Callithrix jacchus: one gene and its partner. The protein of the gene in region 1 purifies or fractionates together with the protein of each later gene. This does not show direct contact. Links are inferred from orthologs where the notes say so. Each region holds a gene or a part of one and is shown on either strand. Other genes may lie near its edges. The genes, in order: ZC3HC1 and CUL1.

Region 1 (3,820 bases):
ACCTTCACCTGTATATTTACTAAGCGTACTAATACATACTTTTGGACTTTTAGCATTACTATAGTTTCCTCCAGTGGAATCCTGTAACCCTAGAAAACCATGAATCTACAAATGCTGCTCATAAATATCTGATGACAAGCATTATTTTACTTTGTCCTTGAAAGTTATAGAGGTCAGCAATTGTTACCAGCTACAAGGAAAAGCTGGGAGTGAGCCAGCCAAGGAGAGACCCAGTGTTTAGGGTTCCATATTGCCCAGCCTATCACTTCCAATCTTTACACACAGCAAACACTTGACTTTTCTTCTCAGTCGACACCCACATTTGTAACCCACAGCAGTCATGGCTGCAATGGCTAGTAGAGTCACAGTCTGGGCTGTGGAACAGAGTAAAGTAATGTGGCCAGCGTGCAGAATGAAGCCATCATCTTGGTGACAGAGTCCAGTGCTCCAAACAGCTAAGTTAACTGGCCAGGTGCAAGTGATGGCAACTGAAAGAAAAAGCAACTGTCTGCAACATGAGGCTGGAGCAGCTGCCTATTCATCTATTTCTGTTTCTGTACTCCTTTTCTACTTGGAGTCATTTTATTTAAGAGAACAAAAGAATTTATCAGAACTTGATGGAATGCCATATGCTAAAGTGCAGAAAGACAAACCAGTTCTACGCCTATTCCCAAGGATGAAAGCAAAATGAGTCTAACTTGACCTATTAGCCGGGCACAGTGGCTCACGCCTGTAATCCCAGCACTTTAGGAGGCTGAGGTCGGTGGATCATGAGGTCAGAAGTTTGAGAACAGCCTGGACAACACGGTGAAACCCCATCTCTACTAAAAATACAAAAATTAGCTGGGCATGGTGACGGGCACCTGTAATCCCAGCTAGTCAGGAGGCTAATGCAAGAGAATCGCTTGGAACCAGAAGGTGGAGGTTGTAGTCAGCTGAGATTGTGCCACTGTACTCTAGCCTGGGCAAAAGAGCAAAACTCCGTCTCAAAAAAACAAAAACGTCTTTGTGTAGTTTGTAGGAAAAAGAAAAAAAAGGAAAAAAAAAATTAGCTGGGTGTGGTGCCTGTAGTCCCAGCTACTTGGGAGGCTGAGGCGGGAGACTCACTTGAACCCAGGAGGCAGAGGTTGCAGTGATAGAGATCACGTCAGTGCATGCCAGCCTGGGCAGTAAGAGCAAAACTCCGTCTCACAAACAAACAAACAAAAAAACTGAAATAACTTGACATATGAAAGCTGAGGGCAGGCAGGGTGCTAATTATAGGACCAGCCTCTGCTCCTCCTCCCATAAACAGCAAGGGCTGTCCACGCACAAGGTAATAGCTTATCTCACCACAGAGTCTGTTTCAGCTGGCTGGCTAGACTGTTTGTGGGCCAACAGGATGGTCAGCACTGTCTTCCAGCCTGGCTCTGCTGGGGCGCTAGCATCTGGTTCAGTTCCACCATTCTCCCTGCCTTCTTTGTCAAGTGTGATATTCACCCAAGGGCACCAGTCTCTATGCTGAGAGGTGGGATCAAAGAAGCTTCGGGAAGATGTGTCCTGAGGAAGGAGAAAAAGAAATAGCATTCATGGGCAGATGCTATGTAAGTTCAGGGAGGCACTGCTATTAGTCATCAAATCCAGAATCTCACAACTACCCATACTTCAAGTGTTTATGCTCTCCTTTAAACTCTGCCAAGATATTTTCCTTATTTTTTCACTCCTTTCGTGTTAAACAAACTATACCTTATCACAAGGGATAGGGGATACCCCACCCCCAGGCCATGGACGGGGACCAGGCCATACAGCAGGAGGTGAGCAGCAGCCAGGCAAGGAAAGCTTCATCTGTATTTACAGCCACTCCGCATCCTTTATTACTGCCTAAGCTCCACCTCCTGTCAGATCAGCAGCGGCATTAGATTCTCATAGGAGCAGGAACCCTACTGTGAATTGCACACTTGAGGGATCTAGGCTGCTGGCTCCTTATGAGAGTCTGACACCTGATGATCTGTCACTGTCTCCCATCAACCCCAGAGGAGATCATCTAGTTGCAGGAAAACAAGCTCAGGGTTTCCACTGATTCTATATTATGGTGAGTTGTATAACTATTTCATTACATAAAAAGTACACAATACATGTAATGTGCTTGTATCATCCCCAAACCATCCTCTAAACTCCGGTACGTGGAAAAATGGTCTTCACAAAAACGGTCCCTGGTGCCAAAAAGGTTGGAGACCACTGCCTTATCAGGTTTGTCCCCGTATCACACTGCTGCTCCATTTGCCTGAGATATCTATTATTTCTCCAGAAGCTACCCCAAAGGAGCAAATGACTGACATTTTTTCCCTTTGGTCACCCAACTTTAAACTTAGTCACATGGTCTACTTTTTGCACTGGACCATGGAAGGGCTCATGCCTGCTTCTCCAAGCTGCCCAGGGAAATCCCAACATGCTGTCTATGTTCAGCCACTGCTAGATGCGAGGTGGACTCACCGAACTGCTGGAGGAGCAGAGGCGAGCTCGCTTGGCCTTCCGAAGAGGGCTAGATGGTACCTCCAGGCCAGGGGTGTCTCCTGTTCCCATGCTTCGGGTCACTGGGCGGGTTCTGGTGGTGGGGCTAGCAGCCTCTGGCTCAGGACGGTCAACAGGACTGGAGGAGTCCCAGCTCCGAGTTCGAGAGACAATGGGACCAGGGCTCTTTTCAGCCTGAAGGAAAGGGGAGATAATGGAAGTACGAAAATGATATTAATGATCATGGTCAGAGATACTTCTTTATTTAATCTTTTTTTTTTTTTTTTGAGACAGAGTCTTGCTCTGTCACCAAGGCTGGAGTGCAGCGGGGTGATTTCTGCTCACTGCAACCTCTGCCTCCCAGGTTTAAGTGATTCTCCTGCCTCAGTCTACCAAGGGCTGGGACTACAGGCCCCACATCATGCCTGGCTAATTTCTGTATTTTTCATAGAGATGGGGTTTCACCATACTGGCCAGTGTGGTCTCAAACTCCTGACCTCAAGTGGTCCGCCTGCTTCAGCCTCCTAAAGTGCTGGGATTACACCATGAGCCACCACATCTGGCTGAATTTAGCTTCTCCATTAGTGAACAGAAACACCACGTGGCATTGTAACCAGTGTAGTGCAAAGTGAAGCCTATCTCCCTAAATTAATTTCCAACTTTCTAGCAACAACATTTTTGCCAAGAATGTTGTTTCAAAGTCCACCCCAGTTCAATTCATTCACTTCAGAAGACAGTTAAAAAAAAAAAGTCCACCCCAAACAAGCTAAGTGCATACCTGCTCTGAGCCTGGGGAGAAAGTGGCATCCTGGCTCCGGGTCATCATCCTCCGAGGAGATTCAGGCACCAGAGGGAAGCGCTCTGGCCGCCCCTCAAGCCCTGGGATAGGGGAGCTGGTCAGGCCAAATGATGTGTCCAGATCAGCTATGGACGACTCAATCTGCTGGAAGCCCCAGAGCCCCACCTTCCTCATACACTGCGAACATGTTATCAGGCAGAGCTGCATGGGTTCCAAAGAGGAACTAGACAGAAATGAAAAAGAGAGTTTTCTCAAAGTGTCATATTTCCAAATGACTAAGTGTAATGTCTTGTGAGTATGTTTCATCTCATCCAATTTCTGGAACAGTCCAGTGGACGGGAACCATGTCCTGTCAGAGCCTTTGTGTTCCAATCTCAGGACCCCAGCTTCATGCTTCATCATCTCTCATGTATTTCCCATAGAAGGACCTGGGGTTCTTAGTGTGCTCTCTATGGTGAGACTGTTTTGCAGGCATGTTTTAAAAATTTCTCCTGTCCCTCCTTAAACCTTTTCCCTTTACATGAAAAACAT
Region 2 (3,820 bases), about 18 Mb from region 1:
ATATTGGCAAGGAAACCAAGGTTGTAGGCATTGTCATCAGGCTTCAGAATGGACAGCCAGCTAGGTTCTCTATTGATTCCAAGTCAAATAGGCTCCTGATCATCACTGTATTTGGCAGACTGTTGTATTAGAACACCAAGGTCAAATTCCAATGACTACATAAAAGCATGCAATTGAAGACTGTCTTTACTAATTTAACTAGGATTGGTTCTCAATAAAAACAAAAGGAAAATAAAAACCAAAAAAGACAAGCAAATTAATCAACTATGGTGTATTTTTAAAGTTAAAAAAAAATGACATTAGAAACCTAGAGTAGTCGTACAGTTTCTGTAGCTCAGATCAGTCTCAATCACATGAGACAGTAAAATATTTTAGAAACACTAAGGTGGTTCACTCTTCAAAGCCATCCATGGAAACACAAGCCAAACATTCTCAAATGTTTCCACTAAAACTCCTAATAGAGAAAAGTGAACACAGACCCAGGGAATTTGAACTGGCTAAAATTTGCAGAATATTTTCAAGGGTCATGTTTTATCTCAATACTGTTCTACTTCCTAATAGAATGTTTGTTTTGATGTAAACATAAATGCTCCCTAAGTTACTAAGATTTGCCACCCTTTATCCTGTGGTTTTACATCCTCCCAGGCATACACTGGAGGTTCTGTGGGACACATATTTGTAATACCAAATATATCAGCCTTGCTCTTTGCCACACACTACTCTAAGCACCTTTTTACTAATAAATATCTCATGTTAAACTTTTTAAATACTAAAGCCCACTTAATCTTCACTATTACCTATTATTATTCTCATTTTGCAGATAGGGAAATTGAGGAAGAGAAGCCTTAAGGTCATCCCCCTAGTAAGTGGCAGGGTGGGGATTTAAAACTGGACTCATAGCTCAGTCTGAGATGCAAGGCTATAGGATGAGAGCAGAATTACATGGTCAAATGCCAATTTTATGCTTAAAGACTCTGCATTATCAATTTTCAGAATGTGATGGAAGTCATGTTTGGTGAGATCTAAGTGGATTTGGGCCAAACCTTTAACTCCTCTAGAAATGAATCCCCTCTATGGGAACCAGGATATAGGAAGCACACTGCTTCCTTGAAGACAGGGCTCATGCTAGATTGAAAGCATCCAGGCCACTGGAAATCCCTGCTCCTCAACTGTCTTTGGTGTCAGGCCTGGTTTTAAAAACAGATTTACCTGTTCTGGGAGTGCTTGTGTAGCTCTGCCCTAAAACACTCGTTTCCTTGCCCTAGCCCACTGCTAATTCATCACGGTGGACAAAAGGAGATGACCACAATTCTCTAATAAACCCTGTTCAAAAAGAATAGGTACCACTGTCGTGGATGTGCATTTAGATAAGAGGTCTTTAGGGACATCTAGTTTCTAAAGAATCACCATATATAGCAGAGTTTAATAAAGAGGTATGTTTAGGCAAACAGCACTGTCATATTAAACAATGAAATAACAGGCAATGCTAACATTCAAAACAGACGATGTTTCAAAAGTTCATTTGTTAGGCAGTTGTTTGAAACTCTGGGTGAGCTGGTTAGGTTCCAGATCAGCATACAAAAGTCAATTTGGCCCAGCATTATACACAAGGAACTATTAATATTCCAAGTATAATACTCTGAATAGTTCCATTTTTGTTAGATTTTGAGATATCAGAAATTTGTCAAGGACTTTCAACTTCCAACTTCTAAGCCCATTTATAACCACTATCTCCCATAGGAAAATGTATTCAGGTCACCACAAACAAGCCAGATATGACTTTCTCTATGAGGTTAGAGCAGAGTTGTTACTTTTAATTGACTTTCCATCTCAGCATTTGGAAAAGGGATTCCGCAGTCCATTTATGCTCCAAGTAAACAGGGAATAAAGGGGAAGCAGGTGTCATGCTTGGAAAGATCCAGATTCCCTGGAGATCTCCTAGTGTAAGGGTCCTCAACCCCTGGGCTGTGGGCCAGTATGGGTCTGTGGCCTGTTAGGAACCAAGCCGCACAACAGGAGGTGATCAGCAGATGAGTGAGCATTACACCTAAGCTCTGCCTCCCATCAGATCAGGGGCAGCATTAGATTCTCATAGGAGTTCGAACCCTATTGTGAGCTGCACATGCGAGGGATCTGTGTGCATGCTCCTTTGATCTGAGGTGGAAGAGTTTCCTCCCAAAACCATCCCCCTTTTCTCCACACCCCGCTCCCCTGCCGTCTGTGGTGCCAAAAGGGTTGGGGACCGCTGTCCTACCACAGCTAGCTCAAGGGTCAGCAAACTATAGCCTGTAGGCCAAATGCTGCCTGCCTTTTTCTGTAAATTAAGTTTTACTGGAACCCAGCCACACTCATTTGTGGACATATCCCACTGGCTGCTTTAGTGCTGCAATGGCAGAGCTGAACTGCTGCAAAAGAGATCACATAGCTCACAAAGCCTAAAGTATTTCCTATCCGGTCCTTTACAGGATAAGTTTGCTGACTCTGACTCCAGACCTAGGTCATTCCTTAGAGCCTAAATCCAGACATCTATGTTTCTAAGAAAGAGAAACAAAGAGCAATTCCACTAGATCTTGATTATCAGCTGGGCGTGGTGACTCACATCTGTAATCCCAGCACTCTGGGAGGCTGAGGTAGGAGGATCACTTGAGCCCAAGAGTTTGAGACCAGCCTGGGCAACATAGCAAGATCCTATCTACAAAAAAAAAAAAAAAAACCACAACACAACAACAACAACAAAAAAAACAATTAGCTGAGTCCCATTACTTCTGGAGGCTGAAGTGGGAGAATACCCTCTCATATTAGAATTTAAATCCTACTTGCAGAAGAACCTCTCCTCTATATAATCCTGAAAGCTATGTAATAGATTCTTAGGGGCATTTTAGAAGCAAAAAAGCAAAAACTTCAAGTTTGCAAATCTGAGAACATTTGTTTCTTAAAATTTTCTCATTGACATGATTGTGATGTCCATTATATAAATCCACATTCTAGGAGAAACAGTTAAAAAAAAGTCCTATAGCTATTATGGCTACATCTTTAGAACAGCAATGAGAACTCTTAGTCATGATTACCAATTTCTCCTGGAGAATTAGGAGAAGCACTTGCACCTGATAAAGACACTCTAGGAAAACAATGCCCAACAAATGACTTGTAAAGAAAGCTCTATGTGCTAAAAAGAATTCACTTGAGTTGCAATGATTTTAACTTAAGTCTACTTAAAGTACTATATTTAAGCTTACCTTTTTCATATATTCAGTAACTGGGTTCTGCTGCAAGAATTCAGTACTCTCTCTGGTATAAAATCTCTCTGTGTCAGCCAAAAATTGAGATTCAAAGGATTCTTTATACACTGTTAACGTAGGGCCCTTTGCAAATGCATCATCTTCATTCAGCCCCAATTCCACTAGAAACGAATATGAGCTATATTTCAATTACCCTATTTTTTTGGTTATATTTCACAGAATATACTTAGGTGTAGCATTCAGTTTAAGATATGTTTAAAAGGTAAATGTGAAATGGCAGGACATAAGTAACTCTTACTCACTAGTATTAAAATACACTATTTTAATAAAATAAAAAAGGAAAAAAATCCAAGATGTATAAAAAGCAAGTAATTCTGACCCATGGCCAGGTATGCTTCAAAATCATGATGAAGTTCCTTTAGAGAACTTTTATACTTCCAAAAGCAATAAAAATAATTTTAAATTTGCAAAGAAATACAATGCTACCCAAGTTTTTAAGACATTGTATTACTTCATCAGTTTCTCAATCTCAATTTTTCAAGCTGATATAGATTTCTGGTTATCATTGAGCTCAATTATTG

What was found.
Region 2: the proteins of ZC3HC1 (region 1) and CUL1 purify together in Homo sapiens (affinity purification with western blotting; 3 studies listed by BioGRID, with this or other methods). This does not show direct contact. The link is inferred for Callithrix jacchus from reciprocal best matches to the Homo sapiens genes ZC3HC1 and CUL1.

The regions. Positions count from the first base shown.
Region 1 is NC_133512.1:117,183,343-117,187,162, reverse strand, and holds part of ZC3HC1 (zinc finger C3HC-type protein 1), read right to left. Parts: intron 3,513-3,820; coding exon 3,269-3,512; intron 2,686-3,268; coding exon 2,473-2,685; intron 1,540-2,472; coding exon 1,333-1,539; intron 1-1,332. UniProt on the Homo sapiens protein: Required for proper positioning of a substantial amount of TPR at the nuclear basket (NB) through interaction with TPR.
Region 2 is NC_133512.1:98,959,173-98,962,992, forward strand, and holds part of CUL1 (cullin-1), read right to left. Parts: intron 3,401-3,820; coding exon 3,237-3,400; intron 1-3,236. UniProt on the Homo sapiens protein: Core component of multiple cullin-RING-based SCF (SKP1-CUL1-F-box protein) E3 ubiquitin-protein ligase complexes, which mediate the ubiquitination of proteins involved in cell cycle progression, signal transduction and transcription.